Drosophila melanogaster: one gene and its partner. The protein of the gene in region 1 interacts with the protein of each later gene in a pairwise test. Each region holds a gene or a part of one and is shown on either strand. Other genes may lie near its edges.

Region 1 (10,988 bases):
GAATGCACACGCATTTGGGCTTCTCGTCGTGCATCTGGCAGATGCGACCGGCTCCGCAGCTCATCGTTTCGCACAGATCCACCTCGACAACGGGATTGAGTAGATTGTGCTGCACTTCGGCCAGCTTGGTGGCAATCTCATTCTCGCGCTCAATATCCTTGATCTGCGAATGGAATTCAGTTAGTGCATTAAGTGTGATTTGTGGTTTGACTTGCGGCCACATGCCTTGTTCTTCTCCTCCAGCAGGCGCAGGAACTCCTCTTCGTTCTCATCGATGTCGGACAGGTCGAGGTCCTCATCCAGCAGATCTTCGGAAAACTCCGTAGAGGCCTGGACGTGGCTCACAGCCAGCAGGCCCAAGCCGAGCAGCAGCCAAAGGGAGCGCATCTCGAATGGCGATCTCAACTACAGGGATTGCAAGTAAAGCATCTTTAAAACACCTTTTTCTTCTCTTTATATTTAAACTATATATTTGGAACTAAAAGTGCCTTTATAAATAGAGTACATTATCAAGTCATTGCGATTGTGAAAACCCAAATTACATTGAGATTAGCTGTGGCCCTGGCCCAACTTCCGTTTCAAGGATTGGTTTGCGACTGTACCGTGTGCGCTGCGTCGTTACTGTACTCCACTGGCGATCTTGTAACCACCAAACAACGGGGTGGTTTTACATGCACATCTCGTGCGGCGTCTTTTTGCTCATTGAAAACAATTGAAGAAGCCGCAAAAATCTTGCAGGGTTCAAAAGGTCAACGCGAATGTGGCGCGCAGATACAGATGCATTTCCTTTTATGGGCAATTTTATTTATGGATCTTTAGATCTTGTGGAACAACAAAGCCAACTCATTGATGGCGGAAGATGACTACTGCAGATCTGGAGTTTTTAAAATAGAAACAAAGTCGGGGGAATGGATAAAATCTCAGAATTTTCAATGTTTGCTTTTCATTTCCTGCTGCCTGCTGCAAATAAGCATTTTTCTCGCTTTTTGCAACCGCAAATTTGAAATATGTTTGAATATTTCAGAATTTGGGGCATGTTGAACACATGTTGAGCAGTTCAAATCGTTTATGAAATCATCTATATATGCAGATGCTCCCATTAATGCGAATATACCTGATTAAAGCTGACCTTAATCCTATTGCTAAACACACACACAGGCTAAACTCAAGCCGAATTTTCGTAATCATTTCAAGATGTCGCCCCAGTTCTATGCTCAATCTTAGTACATGTGCTATATGGCATATATGGCACATCATTGGTTGCCCAACGACACAGTTGGCTTATCAGGTTCCAGCCCGACTTGGCCCCACCGCCGCTTATCAGGATCGGTCGGTCGCTTCCGTTTTGGGTAGCACAAGCAAGATGTGCTTAATCGTCGCTTTTGTGCCGCTGAACATCAAGTCAAATGCGCAGCTATGTATCTGGCAATTGAGAAATGTATACGCGATCTCGCGGAATGGAGCTTCCAGGAATATCCGAGAGTGGGATGCTGCTGCAGTGCATTCCACATGTTGCACACATATATATCTATGTATACAATGCAATATATACTTCCACATGTGTTTGTTTAATTATGCCGACGAAACTAGAAACAATGACGTGATGCAGTGTCCAAGATGCAATGTTTATGCATCGCGAATGAAAGTGGACCAAAAGCAGATACAATCTACTTGAATTGGCGGAAGTGCAATTCACAGTTGACCTTGCAAATCACTGGACTTACTTTTGCTTCTCAGTTCTGACCAATTAACGAACTGATTTCATCGAAAATAAAGTCCAATTGATTGACTATTTGCCAATGAGCAAGGAACATTGAACTTGAGCAACTCGAGCCAGAGCTGAGCTTGCAGAAATTTGAGGAACAAGCAAAGTATCTGTATCTGCATATGTCACACACTTGTTTTGTTAATCCGATTACGACACTCAATCCTTTGTTTCACTCTGCGTGAGTACTCACTGTGCGTTCAATGAAAAAGTGTTTCCCTTCAAATGTCTAATCGCGTTGGCGGATGGCAGGCGACTGTTTGCCTGTGGAAAAGCTTCGGAATGATTACGGATCGCCAAAGTGGAGCATGGAGCACTGCCTGCCCATGGTTTTGGTGTCGCCTCCAACGTGTTGGCTCCCAACATGTTCGCTTGGAATAAAAACACTGATTGCTTCGATTTTGGCAGCTCTTTTTTATTGGTTTCTTGCTTTTCAACACATAAAATAAATCGTGTCCTCTTCTACGTACCTCATAGTTTATGGGAAACTTGAGCCTTGGTCTTTTGAAATAGGCCACTCCAGCGTTGCTCCGGGGGTTTATTTTTTTTTTGGAAAAGAAATAGGTTGTTTGCTTAGAAAAGCGTAATAAAGATTCGATAACAAGATACACATAAGTTAGAAACTTAAGAGCACTTATAAAAACTCTAGTTTATCCTAGATGAGATCCGTTACTAACTTACCTTACGAATTAACTTTGTCTCAAGAGTATTTTGTAGAGTAGAGTATGTTTAAAATTAGAGCGATATTTGTTTGTATCTAGAATGGCATAACGGTAACTAAATATAGTTTATGCTATCGCTAAAGAGAAAGAGACTTACATATCGTCAGCTAAAACAAATACATAGTGTTGTTTTTAATTTGTATTTATTTAAAATAAATATGCGTATGGGTTTTCATAGAGTTCGGTTAAGTGATAAATTGTATCTCGATAATGCAGCATAACGAATCTTGCAAATTGTGGACTAGACCTCTCTTATTTCAGTACTGCATTATATATAAAGATCAATTCAAAGCCCTTGGCGTGCACAACAGCTTAATAATAGGAGAGAGTCGAGAATAAATCGTAAGTCTAGTTAATCCGAAAGCATATACATTTTCTTCGCATTTTTTTCGGGTATATACACTTCTTTGAGTTCGTCATGATATACAAATAAGAAGAGATATATGTAGTATATGAATTAACATCGTGGGCGACGAGATAAGAAACCTTTAACATTAATACAGTATATAAGTGTCCGATTCTTGCTTCTTGTAAAAATTGACATTTGTTTTGATATCATCTCTTGTGTACATTAATAGTTAAGGCCACGCCCGCCAGCCCTGCGTATGATTTGATTTGATTTGGGATCCGACTTCGCTCCGGATTCTTATATTCTTGTTTCTTGTTTCTTGTGTTTTTTTTGTTTGGACGTATCTTCTTATTTGAATGGTTTAGGTAATACATAGGCATCTACGATTAAACTACTTGTTTTGGGCCAATAAGCTCAGGCTACAGCTCCGTGATTTATGTCTAATTAATTGATCTTGATTGGCAATTGTTCTTCCATCCTCCACCATTGCACAATCCTTCTTCTTGTTTTACAGATAGAGAGAGAGGTTTAGATTTAAATAGAGAGCCTGTTGTAATTTCGTATCGTATTTTGGGCATTCTTCTACGATACAGAGTTTCATAATTATGTCTAGAGTAATTCGAACTGGAGAAGTGCTCGCTCCTCGCAATACGTTGTATAAAATAGTTATATATAGTCTGCCATAGCTTAGGTCAATCGTAGGGTAATCAATGGTATAGCTTAAGTGTACAGTAAAATCGTAGTTAGTTGTCCTATGATAGAGAGACAATGCGTTAAGTTTCCTGCTTAGTAACTCTAAGCGAGTGTGGCCTAGCTTATGAACGAGCTTACTAAAGAGTGTCTTGATTCTTGAGCTTTAGCCGCCCAAAGAGCATCTAAATCAAAGAGAATTTTAGACATTAGTAATTACACATAAACAAGTACTTCAGACGTAGTGCATCAATGGCGAGTAATATATGCGTATATGGATATATTCGTGGCAAGACGTATTTGAGGTAGCTCTTATGCATAGACCACATTCAAAAGAAACGACTAATGGCGGGTACGGCTACTCACCCAATCTAGCGGCGATATTTGCTGTTGGCACTGCCTCCAGTGGCCACGGAGCCATTGGATACGCCAACAGCCTTGGCCCCAGTTGGCGGCGGAACGCTTCCATTAGGCGGCAGTGGTCCAGCGTTGTAGCCCGTATATGCTGGTGGTTGAGGAGTGTCTACAATTAGTAGCTGTTCAAAATTACATGTCTTTAATAATGGATTATACCTACGGTAGCTGTTGGGCGGACCTGCCGAGTAAGGATTCATGCGGTTTGCATTCATATTGTTGTGCTTGGATGGTCCGCCTCCGTAGTTTTGCTGATAGCCAGTGCCGAAATTTGGTTGTGGTGTTGGCTGTTGCGAAGACTGCTGCTGGTGGGATGGAGGAGCTGCACCCGGCACTGGGGGCGGCATGTTCCAGTTACCTGGAGCCGTCGGCGGTGGTCCATTGTGACCCATGGGTGGTGGCACTGCTCCAACCGGCGGCACCTGTTGCACTGGTGGAGGACAACCCCACTGGTTGGCGTGCCACTGCTGGGCACCCGGTGGTGGCGGTGGTGGTGCATTCCAGCCATTTTGTTGCGGCGGCGGATATGGACCCCAGCCGTTCATCTGCTGCGGCGGTGGCTGCTGGTAGTAGGGCGGCATAGCCGGCGGAGGTGGTCCCCAGTAGTTGAAGTTTGGTGGTGGAGCAGACATAGGCGCCGGTGGTGGCTGTTGTTGGTAGGGGCCCATGGCCTGTTGTGGCGGCACTGGTGGTCGAAAGCTAGGTGCCTGCATATTGCCATTAGGTGGCTGCTGTCCGCCACCCTGCTGTTGCTGCTGCTGATTGAGCGACGGCTTGATGGCGTTGGCCAGCCCACCTGGCTGCTGTTTCTCCTTCTTGTCCAGGTTATAAATGGACTTCTTGACGTCCACGTGAACGTACTTAATCGCATGTTGCTTTTTAACTAAACGGGATGAAGGTTCATAATTAATATCAATCTAATATTTAGCATTTTAGCTTTTATGCTTACGGATAGCCTTATCCACTGCATCGTAGTCGTCGAACTCGACGAAGGCGAAGCCGCGACGCTTGCCAGTGGTTTTGTCAGTAAGCAATTTAACGGAGACTACATTCCCGAATTGGAGGAAGTATTCACGAAGGCATTCCTCATCGTGGTTATCCTTAAGACCGCCTACGAACAGCTTCTTCACGGATATATTGGTCTCGCGCGATTCGCGTTCGGGACGGGGCAGAGCACGCTTGGCTTCCACAGTTCTGGAAGCGAAAGGCCTCATGGTATAGATCTATTCTTGGTACGATATGATCCCCCACCAAGTCTATACTCACTTGCCGTCGATGATGTGCGGACGGTTCTCCTGGGCCCTGTCGACCATGAGAGACTTTGTGTAGGTGATGAAGCCGAAGCCGCGAGATCTCTTGGTGGCAGCATCGCGCATCACCACAACATCGACCACCTTGCCCCACTGGCCGTAGAACAACTTCAGGTTCTCCTCGGTGGTGTACGGGGCCAGCCCGCCGATGAAGAGCTTACGCAAGTGCTCCAGCTCGCATATGTCCTACCGGTGCAGAGGTGGTAAGTGGGTTAGCCAAGTGGGTTGGCATGTGGTGAAGGGTGGTATGTGTGAAGGGAAACAAATATAGGTGCGTCACTTGCCAAGCCGCATACATGCACAGAAAGGTACGCGTATGTACTTACATCTTCCTCGCGATCTGCAAGCACAATCACATCGGCGGACTCGTCCGATAGGGGCTCATCCTTCACCATTGTGTTAGCAAATTAATTATCACTAAATTTAACCGAAATTAAGAAACGAAAACGACCAGTTTGCACGTCGAACGGTTGAAGCGAAGTGAAAATTGTGCTGTCAGGAAGCGAATCATTGATTCGATACACCCACTCTCTCTGTTTGTTATCGATAAGTTGGTTAGGGGTATTCTTGAAATTTCTAAAGTGCCAAGTTTCTTTACTATCGTAATAATAAATACATACACGAATTGGATATGCGATAGCTGTCAAATTGTAATATAGTTTTTCAGAAGCAAAGCGAAAACCGCCAACGTATACTAGCCCCTTTATGCATTCAATTGAGTATTCAACTTAAGTTCTAATGTCGGATTCGCCCCATGAGGAGCACCGCTTGTGCGGTCTGGGGAATCACACGCTGAGGTCCCCGTACCGCGTAATCAGAAATCCGCACCTGCTGAAGTTTGGCCAGCTGATAAACTCGGAGCTGCGGTCTCAGCCACTGTGCCTCTCGTGCTACACGCAACTGATCCAGCTCTACCGGCTGAAGAACAACAATGCGAAGAGACACCTGGCAAATAGACAGGCAGCCAGTGCTATTCTCTCGAGGAGCAGTAGTGAGAAATCTCATGAGTCCGCGGCTAGTGTGTCCACAACACAATCCTCGGAGGAGCAAGAATCAACCACTAGCGCAGCGCCGGCGGCGGCGGCTCAAAGAGCAGGAAGCCAGTTGGTTGAGTCCAATTCTTCCGACGATACACTTTTCTCCGATGACTACGATCCCAGCTCGAATCTGAGTTTGAATGCCGTGAATGGAACGCGGCTACCGAATGTCCAACCAATTCCGAAAAGGCGCCAGTTTGTGCATCTAAATCGTGAAGCTATGGCCATTTATCTGGCGGGAACTACTGGGGGATAATGTTTGTTTCATTTAGGATATTTTCATAAATTAAATTTGAAATAACACTGTTACCATCTATGTAACCATCTATCGATAGTTTCCGCCATGTTATTAGCAGCAGAAACAGCTGGCTGAGCACCAGGGCTGCATTATTGTTTGTTAGTTTTGCTGTTTGGTTTTTAACAAATTTCCTGGTTTTCCCTCAAAAACCCTCTCTTATATAAATAAATCAAGTGCAAAATGCTGAGTCCATAACAACACACGTAAGTTTGTTGGCAAGCAGTGAGTGATTTCTTCGAAAAGTGCAATTCCTGCAATCTGTTATGTTTTCACAATGACTTTTATTCGATCTTAATCTAAACAGTTTAAAGCTCAAATAAATGTAATCAATTAGCAAGTATTAGCAAATGTTAATAGGCGTTGTTGTTTCTCGACGTCGCTGCTGCTGCTGCTGTTGTTGTTGTTTTTGTTGTTGCTGGCGCTGGAACTGGTCATCGATGTCGATGAAATTGGCATCCTGCGTGTTATCCTTGGGCAGCGCTGCCGGCGTCGCTGCCGCGGCATAGTAGTTTAGGCCCACGCCCACCGCCACGCCCCCAGTGACGCCTCCGGGGGGCATGGTCGTGGCAGCCTGACCCATTATAGAGCTCATAAAACCATTGGCCACGACAAAGTTTCTGAAAAATTGATTACATCAATGTACAAAATAATTTCGAGCAACCCCCTCCGGCACAAAAAAAAAAAAAAAAAAAAAAAAAAAATATGGAAAAAAATGATATCGTCTAATTGGGTCTGTGTGCGCATAAATGTCGTAAAATTAATTTCGTGTTAATTTCATGTTGGCCATCAATTAAACTAGTGACATTTCACTAAATTACTTCCGTTTCGAAAATGCAGGTATAAATACCCAGTTAAAATCCTCTTCACGAGCTATTCATCAACCATTAATTTATGTTCATTTAATATTATTTAACTCAATCAAAATCGATGATATCTTTGTACATATGAAACAGAAAAAACGATTCAAATTAGCTAAAGGGGAAACCCACCTGTAGTGCTGATCGATCTGAGCCTTTTCAATGCGTTTGTCCTTGGCCCTGCGATTCTGGAACCAGATCTTGATTTGCGTTTCGGTCAGGCGCAGCGTTTCGGCCAGCTCGAAGCGACGACTCCTGGAGATGTACTCGTTCCGATGGAACTCCACCTCCAGGCGAAGCGTCTGCTCTGTGCTGAAAGTGGTCCTCTGGCGGCGTTGTCTTCCCTCCTTGCGTCGCCTGCGAGCCACTGAAAGTCAAATACATTGATATCCTTACAATTAATACGTGTATAATATCTAGTTGGAATCAGCTTATTAGTTATGTAAACCCCGCACCATTCAGTGTGTACAATAACGACATCCGTCGGATAGCATCATTTTTTCACAGCCCACCCACTTTCGTTTATGTCCAACACAATGGAGATGTTAGAGCGAAATTAATCTTACATTAACAAACCATCAAGTTATGAGCGGGACTAAACGTTTTCGAATGTGGTTGCGTGTCGCTGCGTCAGTTAAACAAATAATTAACCACTCCGATCCGTGGTCCATCCGTCGTCCTCCCTCTCTTGCTCTCTCCGCCCGCCCACCTGCCAGAATTCGTCGTCGGTCGCGTTTGTGGTGCACATTAAAAGTGCATTTACCACGTAGTTTCTGTTCTCTATGTTTTTTTTTTTACCACGCTTTTCATTTCGGCAATCTATGCTGATCCGGGAAAGTTATAACAATGCCAACAGCTGGCTGGCCATCATCATCATCATCATCCTCGTCGAAATTCTCGGCATCATCCGCTCTTTCGAGTTTTCCATTCTGTCGTTTGATTGTTTGCATTCGCAGTGTCGCCGACGATGAAGCTCAACCAAGCGCACATTATGCCCCACTTCATCCTGCAACAACGAGCACCTGCCACCCAGGAACACCCACCACAAACACCCACACCATGGTGAATGTTGCGGTTTAGAGTCTAATTGATGTAACAAGGCGAAGCTGACAAGTTGCTCGGTGGTGTTAGGATGGTGGGGGGGGGGGAGGGGGGGTTTCCCCGGGAAGGGGTTGCTTTGTGGGCGTTGTAATCTCTAGCTTTTGCTTGATTACCCCTAGTCCGGATGGCTCTGGAGGGGCTTAAGCTCTTCCCTGATCCTTGCCGAAGGTTTTTTTTTTTTTTTAAATCACGTGTGTAATTCGATAGCCAAGTGTCCTTTCGGACGGTTTGTTGTGGCTAAAAATGAGTCTTCCTCGCTTAACCCTCCTCGCTTGCTGTTTGTGTTTGCTTTTTTAGGTTTCCTGCCGAGCTCAATTACAATGCTAATTTTTTCAGACACTTGTTATTTTTTTGAGATTGACCAAAAGTTTGGCTTGTAAGTTAGTTAATTTAAAGATCAAGTACTTATAGTAACTACCAAGCTGGTTTAGCATTAAATATATCAACTGTTCTGAATCTAAAAAATGCTTGCATATGTAGAATACGTTTCTGCTCGTAGAAAAGGTTTCAAAGTGTCTTTAACTTTGATTTCTTGCTTACGAATGGCTAACCCATTCACCCTTAACCTGCGATCATTTTCATTAGCCGACGCATTTCCATGTTTCAATATCCCCTCAACCTCATCTCCGCACCTGGCCACCTTGGCCACCTCATCAGGAGCAAACGAAAAAGCCGCAAGTAAACGAAAACTTTCACGGCTCAATGCGTTTTAATTTTTTCTTGGCATTCGGTTATTTTTTTTCCTTGGCTAATTTCTTTGCATTTGGGGGTCAGCAGCAGCAGCAGCAGCAGCAGCTCATTGTGTGGCATTGCTTGGTTGCCCCACCTTAGTTTCGTTTATTTTTTTCCAACTGATTTTACATAATCCTGGCCAGCGCACTCGGTGCGAAGATGTGGGGGATATTCAATATTGCAGCACTGACGATTAATCAGTTTTTTTTTGCGTATCCGACTTTTTTTTTTTGCAGTTCCTGCGGAACCAAGTTCATCTGGGCTGCACCTGCGCAGGCGTGTGAAATGCTCATCACTTCCTCTGGGCCTTTTCAATCGTAACTTTCGAACTCTTTCGGGGATCGGGCGGAAATGTTGGCTCCCCTGGGCTTCAGCTGTCCGCGATGCTTGCTCCTGCGACGTGGCGCCGAGCGTTGGGCCTCACTGGCCCGCCAATTGTCGGGCAGCAGCTCCCAGGATGATGCCAGCAGCAAGGATGCGGCCGCCCAGGAGGCAGCAAGTGGCTGTCCGCCCAATAGCACAACGACGGGCACTGACACTCCCAAAGCCAAAGATAAAACCACCAAGGGAAGGAAGCGGCTCAGAAACATAGAGGTAATGTTGTAAGCTAGTTGTTATCATTGCTATTATAGGTTAAATATCAGTTGGTAAGATTGTAGTTCATTAGAAAGAAAGGATCATCGATCTAGTATTGTAACACAAAACTTAGTGTAGTTCTATGAACTTCTAAAACTATTGAGCAGTATTATCGAAGGATCCAATTGTTATCACAATACTGAAATAACTTTCTATCCTAAGAGGAAAGTGGCTCAAGAGATTGCATATTATATAATCGTTTGCAGATACCTCCCGAGCCCACCACCTGCTGCATGTCGGGCTGCGCCAACTGCGTTTGGCTGGACTACGCACAGACGCTGGCCAAGCTGCTGGGCGACAACGATGAGGAGGCGCGAGAGATTGTGCTGAGCAAGATCACCGACCCGAACCTGAAGATGTTCCTCAGCCTGGAGCTGCGCCAGATGGCTAAGCAGCGGGAGGAGAAGGCGGCGGCGGAGAAAGCAGCGAAGCAGGGAAAGCCAAAGAAATCCTCGCCCCCGCCGTAGTACAAATCCCCGCTCACCTAAATATCTAGTTAGGACCAAATTCGTAGTAGCTCAAATTTACTCTTGTACTTAGTGTGTAAGAACTAAGAAACCTCAAAATAAACATGTAAGAGTTAAGGTTCTGAAGAAGTTATTTTCGTAGTTCTAAAGATTCTGCATAGCTTTGCAAATATTCTACACATTGTTAGAAACCATTCTTTTTTAAATGTAAGTACTCACGAAATGCGGAAAAGCCGGCGCTGAAGTGCGGGTCACTTGGGAAGCCGGCTGGGAATGCGTGTGGCAGGACAGGATTCGCAGCTCCACCGGCGGCAATTGCTGGCGGCGGGCTCACGTAGCTGAGTTTCTGGTGCACCAGCTGCGGCGGATGATGGTGATGATGATGATGCTGCTGGTGCTGCTGGCTAGGATGCTGCGGATAGTCCTTGGCGTGACCATAGAAATCGTAGGCGGGATATGCGGCTAGCGAGGTGCGTTCATCGCTGATGGAAATGTCTGGCGAGGAGACGCTTCCTCCATCGCTGTGATAGGGCGTGTCACAGGGCGGCGGCTTGTGGGCGTGTGTTCCGACGTCGATTTCCCCATTTTCCGAGGAGCGCGTTTCCAAATG
Region 2 (8,591 bases), on another chromosome or scaffold:
AAAGGTCCATCCCCGTGCAGACCGCGTTTCTGGACGGGATGTTAGACGCAAGGTGATGACTCGTTCCGGCCCGTAAGTCTCCCGGAACCACCTGATGTCGTTCTTGCGCCGCACATCGCTGACCAGAATGTAGGGCGTCTGCTGGCGACTCAGCGCCTCCTCCATGGCCACGCGGCAGAAGTAGCCGTAGTCCTGGGCCCGCACCTCGTCGCTCCACACAATCATGTCGCGCCGGTACTTCTCCTTGTAGGGTCCATCACCGAGGAGAGCGTCCAGGTCCAACTGCAGCTTGCGAGCCCATTCCGACTTAATGGGCTCTGAGATTCGAACGATACACGACCGGGAGCCCAATCTGGAATGGAATTGGATTTTATTTGTCTGAATATTTCTGCAGCAAGCAGTGCAAATTTAACAAATTGGCAAGATTTCTACGACTAGCTATGCACTGCACCCACCTCCGCTGCAGCCTCTCGGATATGTAATCCTTGCCGCACTTTCGCTTGCCGCTGATGAGTACAATTTTCATCATTTTTCTGGCGCAACTTTCACTTTTGCTCGCCAACTTCTTTCACAACCGCTGCTTCTCCTGCTGCTTCTGCTTGTGGCCTCGATTTCCTAAGTTCTACGCTGTGCTCATCAGATACTGGATGTGGTTGTGTTCACCCTGGGCCCTGCCACTTGACTCCGGCACTGCGGCCTGTTGTGTTTATGCTAATGCTCCATTCGAAGTCTGTGCTCCAAGTCGCATTTGTTTACCTTTTGTATTTCGCTGGAACAGCAACCAGCTGGAGCGTATCGTCATCGATAGGCGGCCAATCGAGCGGGCTTTTTGAATTTCATTCAGCTCGAGTGGAAACCGTACCGTCATCGATTGGCCGCCAATCGGGCGGGATTTTTGAATTTCGTTCAGCTTGAGAACCGCAAAGGTATTCATAAAATTGTTATCCTGATTTGTTCGCCACGATAACCACTTCACTACTACATTAAGAATTAAGTTTAGCCCAAGCTTTAAAACCGGAGTAGCATTTATTTTTTGGTTCGGGTTGGCCTAACCCCGTAAAATATCTTTAATAGTGTTCAGTTCAGCTTAACATACACTTGTTCACTTAATTAAAAGCCTGCGTGCCTGCGTTAAAGCGTCTACCCTGGTTACTAGCCCCTCGCTTTCGTCCCCCTATCTGTAGTATTGCGACTGCTGCCAGTTGCCACTCGAGCCACCAGTTGGCGCGTCGGTGGAGCCTCCAATCAGGGCACCTGGGCCAACAGCGGAATGGCTGCCACTCGGATTGGCGGGCTGTGCTGCTGCTGTTGCCCCACCGCCGGGTGGCCCAGAACCCGGATTCCCGGCCGCACTGCCAAAGGAGGCGAGCACGCTGCTGTAGTAGGAGGCATCCGCCACCGACTCGGACTGGTGGGGCGTGCCCTTCTTGAGCGTGTGGTGCAGCGAGGCCTTGCCCTGGTGACATTCCTGCGCATTGGCATTGTTGATCCTGGTCAAATTGGCCAGCGTGAGCGTCGAGTGGCCGCCGTGGATGGCGTTTTGGGCGGCGGCGGCGGATCCTGGTGGCGGTATACTACCAATACTACCGATGTTACCGACACCGCCGGTCAGTGGCAGCCGCGACAGGACGGGACGGGACGCAATGGAGGCGGAAACGGATATGGGGACAGACGACTCGGAGAGCTGCAAGGGGCAAGCGGTTGTTTTTTTATAGACAGGACAGCTTAGTTTAGGAGCCATAGCTACCACTCGCCTTGCGCTGCTTGTGCAACTCCAGGCCCAGACCGACGCCGCCCAGATCCGTCATTTTTGGCTGCTCCGCCATGGCTGACAGCTGCGGCTGTGGCTGCAACGGTGGCGGCTGCGGCGCCACATGTCTGTGATTGATGTGCGCCTGCAGGTCGCGTTGCGAAAGGTATGTTCTACGGCAGCCGGAGCTGCCGTAGCGACTGCCGCCGTGCGTGCACATGAACACGGTGCCCAGGCCACTCTGCTCCACGCGCAACACCTTGTCCGTGCAGCGGGGACAACTCTTGATGGGCTCGGCGCGGGCGCACTTGAGGCAAAATACATGCTTGCAGGGTATCATGCGGCCGTAGACGAGGATCGGCTTGTCGCACTGATCGCAGCAGTGGATCATCGGGTTCAGCACCTTCTCGCCGATCAGGCTCACCTTGTGGTTCCACTTAAGGCGCAGCATCGGCTCCGGCGGTCCGCGCGAAAGCGTGGTGAAAGTGGGCGCCTCCAGTTGCGATATGTCCGCCTCCATGTCGACTGCGCGGGCGAGAGATAGCGAGATAGCTTTGTTCAATGCTTCAAGTTTGGATACCAAGGAATTGGTCAAGCCAAGATGTTAATCAATTTAACTATCTTGGACAACCATTCAATAGGGGAGGAGACTCACTTGTTTGGCTCATCACGGGCGGTGGCACTTGCTGCAGGACCTGTGGCTGTTGCGTCGCTGGAGTCATGTTCCCGCTGGCGGCGACCGCTCCTAGCGCACCGTGCGGCAGGGGCTCCTCCAGAGCGCCGGGCGTTTCCAGTTCGCCGTCCTTGTCGAGCTCCTGCATGACCGAATCTTCGGAGGCGTCCAGTCTTCCCGGACTGTCCTCCAGGGCTGCACAGCTGCTGGCCGCCAGGGCTGCGGCGTCGGCGATGCTGCTGTCGTCGATTTTCTTGCCACGACCGCGTCCTCGGCCACGTCCGCGCCCGCGAGCCCTGGTGCCACGCCCTCGTCCGCGGCCGCGCTTCACTTCCTCGGTGTCCATTGTTCACTTGTACTTGCGTGGGATTTTATGCCGGTTTTTAAGTTTTTCGGTTTTTGTTTAGCTCCGCATTTGCGTTTGGCCAGGGTTGTCAGCTGTTCCCACATACGTGCAGTAACTTAGGGTGACCAGTCTGCGCCTAACAACACTGGCCATCAAAAGGTCCGGCATCACTGGTCAGTTTAAAATACAATATTTTTACTTGTTTAATTTTAATTTTATCTGTTTTTCAATTATTTTTAAACTAATTTGAATTTAATGAATGTAAAAAAAAACATAAAAAAAAACAATAATTATAAGCATCTATTTAACCGTTCTTGTATCATATTAATAGCTTACTAATTTCTTTTGTAGCTTCAACATGAAAAAACAAAAGTATTCTGAATAGAAAATGTGAGATCTACATTAAGATAACCTTAAAAACTTAATAATAATTAATAACAAGGTTTAAAATTAGTTTTTTCGTATATAAATTTGAATTTGTAAAATGTTTTTTTAATTACAATTAAATAGTTTTTATTACAAGTTATATTTTTATACTATGCTTTAAAAAAAATGATTTTTGGTATTTGTTGCCTAAAAATATCGTTTATCCCCTTTCCTTATGCTTTAAATTGCGCTCGAATTTATGCAATAACTGAGTTGAGTAGTTCTTCAGCTAGAAATCGGGGTCATTCACCTTGGGTGCAAGGTAGTATCGAATGTGGCCGTAATCCTCGATGGGATACTCCACCAGGAGTGGCCGCTCGTCGGACAGGTAGAGCTTGACGCGATCTGCCAGCGGAGTGGCCTTGGTGAAGGTGTTGAGGTAGCGACCGGCGAAGGACTGGGTCACGGGCTCCTGCACCTCAATGCTCACGTCCATGGCGGTGCCCGCACTCAGCTGAATGTTGGCCGTGCCCAGATCTCCCTTGGCCAAGAACCTGATGCCCTTCGAGGAGCAGGCGATCGTCAGGGACTCGTCGAACATGCTCATGTCCCGGCAAATGCGCGCGAACTCTGACGACGGCAACTGGATGAAGCAGGTGTAGTCCTTTTTCGGAATCTCCATGTGATCCTGGTCCAGATTGAGGAGCTTCAGCTCGTAGTCCGCCGTGCGCTCCTTGCCATCCGACTCGAAGCTGAGCGTAATCTTCTCCGGTCTGTCAACGGCCTTAATGGTGACCGCATCGTCGCTATTGGCGCACTTAAGCACCTTGCCCAGGGATTTCAGATCCAAGCCCAGCGAGACATTGCGATCGCAGTGAAACTTTTCAAAACAATCCGAAGCCAGACTTAGGGCCACCAGCGAAACGTGGGAGTTGTCCATCGATTGCAGCTGGAATATAGAGTTGTAAAAGCTTTATTTCTTATCTCAACTTTTCATTTTCAGTCCCAAGTCTCAATGGAACTACTTAACAGCTTTTATGGGAATTCGAAACAAAATGACAGATGGAGGGTTATTCTCTTCACCTCCAGACCATTTTCACTGCAGTCCAGCGTTCCCTGGGCGATGATTTCCTTTAGTGCATCGACGATCTTCTTCAGCAGCAAAGTCTGACTCAAACGCGCCTCGAGCATTTTTCCAATTTTCAAAATTGACAATCGCTGTCCCGTTAAATTCACAATTGGAAACAAACAAAATGAAGCCAGTCAGCTGTTTCGCTGCAAGTGTAGAGATGCCGGACTGCTGCGGAGTTAAGAACAAAGCTTGTTAGATTAGTTTCGGTTGCGGATTTAAGTTCATTTGATGTCTGATGATGAAGCTAGTGAACATAGATCTTAGAATTTGACTTAAAGCTGTAGGTTAATCCTTTTCTATTTAAGGGTATCCAATTGAAATCACTTAATCCGACTGATCTGGCAGCATCTGCAACACTGGTTCCGGCTCCAGTTCTAGTTCGAGATCCAGTTCCAGCTCGGATCCAGCCATCCAATCCAATATGTTTACGCTTTATTTATTTATTTGTTTATTTATAACCAACTGCTGAGCTCCCCGATGGCCGCCGCGCAGGTGGAGATGCACGCTGCTCCGGCGGCTCCCCATGTCGATCGAAATCCCAGCAGCGACTGGCGACAGTGGTGTCGCCTGTGCGCCAAGGACGACGTGCAAGGCAACTTGAATGTGTTCCTCAAGAACGAGGATTCCGGCGAGGCAGCCTCCATGGAACTGGCCACCGCCATTGGCAAGTACTTCTGGGTGAATGTGAGTGCGCTCCTCGTGGCTCCTTGGATTTCCACAAGCTAACCAGCTTATCTTGATTTCTCTTGCCCCATCATCAGATAACTCGAGGTGAAGAGCTGCCGGAGACGATATGCAGTGAGTGCCTGTCGCTGGTCACCTCGCTGGTGAATTTCTCGGAACGGATTACCCGCGTGCAGAAGCTTTACTGCATCCTGCAGAGCACGCCCAGCCAGGAGAGGCCAAATCTCCACGAGCTGCGCTCGAAATTTGGTTTGCTGGACGAGGAGACGCAGACTGAGGTGCACTATGTGGACAAGAAGCCGAAGTTGGATGAACAGCTCGAGTTTCTGCCAGAGGAGTCGCCTTACGAGCTGGCAAACCCACTAACGCCAGAGGAAAAGCAGGAAAGCGTAGATCAGGAGCAGGATCAGCCGACGGAGGAGCCAGATGAGCAGGATGCCGACTACGAACCGAATGAAGATCGTGTACTAATGAGCCTCTGCGATGTGTATGGCATTCAGGAGGATAACTCTTCTGCTGGCAGCTTGGATGGCTCCTCGCCGAGTACCGAAAAAGCTGGAGAGGATGCAGCAGACTCTGAGAAAAGACACCAGTGCAACGAGTGCTTGCGAAGCTACGCCACGTCCAAAACCCTGCAGCGCCACCTGCGCCAGGATCATGGCCAGACTGAGCCCACAACCGAGCAGCTGCAATGCCCGGATTGCCCCAAGAAGTTTCGTCTACACTACCAGCTGGAGAGGCACATGAAATGGCACGTGCCCCTGCCCAAGCGCAAGCAGTACGCCTGTAGCAGTTGCGACAAGAAGTTCGCCACCAGTGCATCCGCCCAGCAGCACGAGCAGTACATGCACCTGGATGAGCGGCCGCGGCCGGTGATTTGCGAGCAGTGCGGTGTGGGTGTGCACTCGATGAGCGCGCTCAAGGAGCACGTCCTCAAGCACACGGACTACGCCCCCTTCGAGTGCGAGGTGTGCAAGAAGTGCTTTAAGTCGGCCAATCGTCTGAAACACCACAAGGAGACGCATGATCCGCACAAGTACATCTGCCCCGAATGCGGAATGCAGCTGAATTCGCGGACCACCTTGAATCGCCATCGACTGGTGCACACGGATCAGATGCAGCACAAGTGCGACTACTGCGGCCGGGAGTTTAAGCGCGCCAAGGCGCTGAAGAATCACCTCATCCTGCACACAGGACTGAAGCCTTACTCCTGCGATTTTTGCGACCGCACCTTTGCCAACGGCTCCAACTGCCGCACGCACAAGAAGAAGTCGCATCCCGAGGAGCTGGCTGCTCAAGAAGCGGCGGGCGGCGGCAGGTCGCACAACAGAAATATACCCAAGCTGGAGGCGCTCAAGGCATTGTAGGTTAACCAAAATCGTACATATAATGACAATTTCTAAATGATTCCATTACAATTCCGTTTGTAGCACCAAGAACAAGGACAATCTGTCGCCGGTGGCCACCAAACAGAGTGGCTGCTTCGCCTTCGGCAAAAAACCGAGGCCAGCCACCAAGGATACTCCAGCTTCGAATCCCGCCGTCATCCAAGATGCTCAGCCTGAACCAGCGCCTGATCCCGGAGGGGAGAACGCCACCCAAGCTGATACCCCAGCTGCGGCTATACCCACGTTAGATAATATTTATAACCATATCATGATCGACTATCGCTGACCCCCCACTTGAGTTCACCCCTTCAAATAGCACAAGTTTGAAGTTTTGTTTCCAAATTCGCCGTATGTTGTGTATTTATAGCTGTTTAAAGATATAGTTGAGATTGTTTTGCATACACTAGAATGTGTAAGTCGACTTAATAATTAATTTAAAGTATATGAGCTAATGTAATTAGAAAGAGAGCTTCTACGGGAAATTAAATATTTTGCTTATGAGTTAGGATCTTTCTATTTCGGGTACATTTTATTGTTTATGGTTCCGGAATAACTCAAGTGCGCGAGCGGGAAAGTGGGATTTGAACGCATCCGTGGATGGCGCATGTGCTCTGGGTTCCGGAGTCGGAATCTGAGGCGAAGCGAAGCCACCCCCATTTGAATCCTGTCCTGGTATAAAGGAATTTAGTTCAGTTGACAGCGTGCGCCTTCTCGTGTCCTGCTCTTGATGAAAACTTTTGCCGAAAACCAGTAAATCGAATTGAAAGCCGTTGAGATGTGTGAAAAGCCCAAGCAAATAATCCCTGAATCCAACATGACCAAATTGGGCAGTAAACAAAGTGTGGAAAAGGAAGTGTGAAGTGCGTCCCTTTACTCCGACGTGCGAGCCGAAAAATCAAAAAAATCGATTTATCCCCCAATAAAAACAAAGTGCACTAAATGCCCCAAAACGAACGATGAACTTCAAATAACCAAATTTGGGCTGCGAAGTGTGAAAAGTGGATTGAAAACCGAAAGCTTTACGAAAAAATAGTCTTTCAATTAAATATTCAGTGAAATTAGTTGAGAGTGGGTGCGAAAATCAAAAGAGCAGGCAAAGCAGCTGACACAAGAACCTAACAAAAGATCAAATCAAAAATACGAAGTGTAAGTAAAAAAAAATGATCTTAAACAAATTGTTAACGTTACGAAAAGTAACACTTTTAAGTAAGTTAAAAGTTCCTGCGCAGCCCTGGTCCGCGACTCCACAGCTGTTTCTGTGCCACCCCATCCCTGGTTTCGGATTTTCGGAATCAGTTCGCTCGCGAACCACACGAAAGAACAACACCAACATCGCTTTGGCTGCGCGAAATTATCAAAAAATTATTGTTTTTCGTCACTCTCAGCTCGTATTTGTTGTGCAAAGTGTTGCTATCGGTGTTCCGAGTACCAGCAAAGTGAGCGTTTTCGAATTGCACCCTGTATATCGAGACTTTTTGTCGGCGTTTTTCCCACTTGTTTTTTACGCACACTACGCGCCACTTGCATGTGTGTGTGTGTGTTTGTGTGTGTGTTTGAGTGTCCGTGTGAATAAAAATCGATTCTGTTGTAAGTTTTTGCCATTAATTACTCCGCCATATACTAAAGCCACTGCTACGAATCGATGAAAATGTGTAACATGTGTGCGAGAAACCCAAAACCCAAAACCCAACACCCAGCAGCATGGAAATCTCGTCGTGCTGCTCGCAATTGTTGTTCCAAAACCAAAGCAAACCAAACCAGTCCCATGAAAATTCATAGTTGCGTGGGCGGACTCGAAGTTGGCCAGCGGAGACGGTGGCAAAGTCCCAGAGTCGCCTCCAAAATGTGTCTGGTGTCCGTAATCCGACGCAACAGTGCAGTGTGCCTTCCGAATCGGTGCAGCAAGCCCGCTTTTAACTCTTCTTCATTCGGAGATCTATGAAATCAAATGGGTGGTGATTGTGTAAATCAGAATGTCAGGATTGAGGGTCTATAAAGATTAAGAAATAGAGTGCCTAACATTGCCCAAAATATATTAAGTTATTAGTATAGCTCAGCACGGACATTTGCCAAATCGGTTTGCATTGCCAACTCAAACCTTTTTGGTTTGTACTTAAAGATACTTTAGCTATGAAATCTAATCAAAAAGTATCTTTCAAAGAGCGTTGCTTTTGACTGATACAGAGTTGCAAGTTTATGTTCTAAAACATGCCTTATATCTATTAAATTGATTAGATTAAAACTTAGATGAA

What was found. Proteins that work in one complex are often made in the same cells at the same time.
Region 2: the proteins of SPARC (region 1) and Hakai interact in a two-hybrid assay, tested with the Drosophila melanogaster proteins (one large-scale study listed by BioGRID).

Annotation. Positions count from the first base shown.
Region 1 is NT_033777.3:26,869,968-26,880,955, forward strand, and holds the start of SPARC (secreted protein, acidic, cysteine-rich), read right to left. Parts: upstream 2,029-10,988; 5' UTR 1,959-2,028; intron 601-1,958; exon of another isoform or gene 543-600; intron 406-542; 5' UTR 388-405; coding exon 226-387; intron 164-225; coding exon 1-163. Other genes in the region: Rb97D (ribonuclear protein at 97D), read right to left, coding at 3,898-4,049, 4,104-4,823, 4,890-5,134, 5,207-5,436, 5,577-5,645; ms(3)K81 (male sterile (3) K81), read left to right, coding at 5,989-6,543; ro (rough), read right to left, coding at 6,926-7,202, 7,575-7,809, 10,598-10,988; CG5500 (uncharacterized protein), read left to right, coding at 9,627-9,869, 10,118-10,378.
Region 2 is NT_033779.5:19,579,602-19,588,192, forward strand, and holds Hakai (hakai), read right to left. Parts: upstream 2,874-8,591; 5' UTR 2,770-2,873; coding exon 2,406-2,769; intron 2,303-2,405; coding exon 1,755-2,302; coding exon of another isoform or gene 1,731-1,754; exon of another isoform or gene 1,685-1,730; coding exon 1,175-1,684; 3' UTR 1,011-1,174; downstream 1-1,010. Other genes in the region: Pmvk (phosphomevalonate kinase), read right to left, coding at 1-352, 456-529; PCNA2 (proliferating cell nuclear antigen 2), read right to left, coding at 3,425-4,084, 4,219-4,326; CG10366 (uncharacterized protein), read left to right, coding at 4,745-4,951, 5,029-6,314, 6,382-6,625.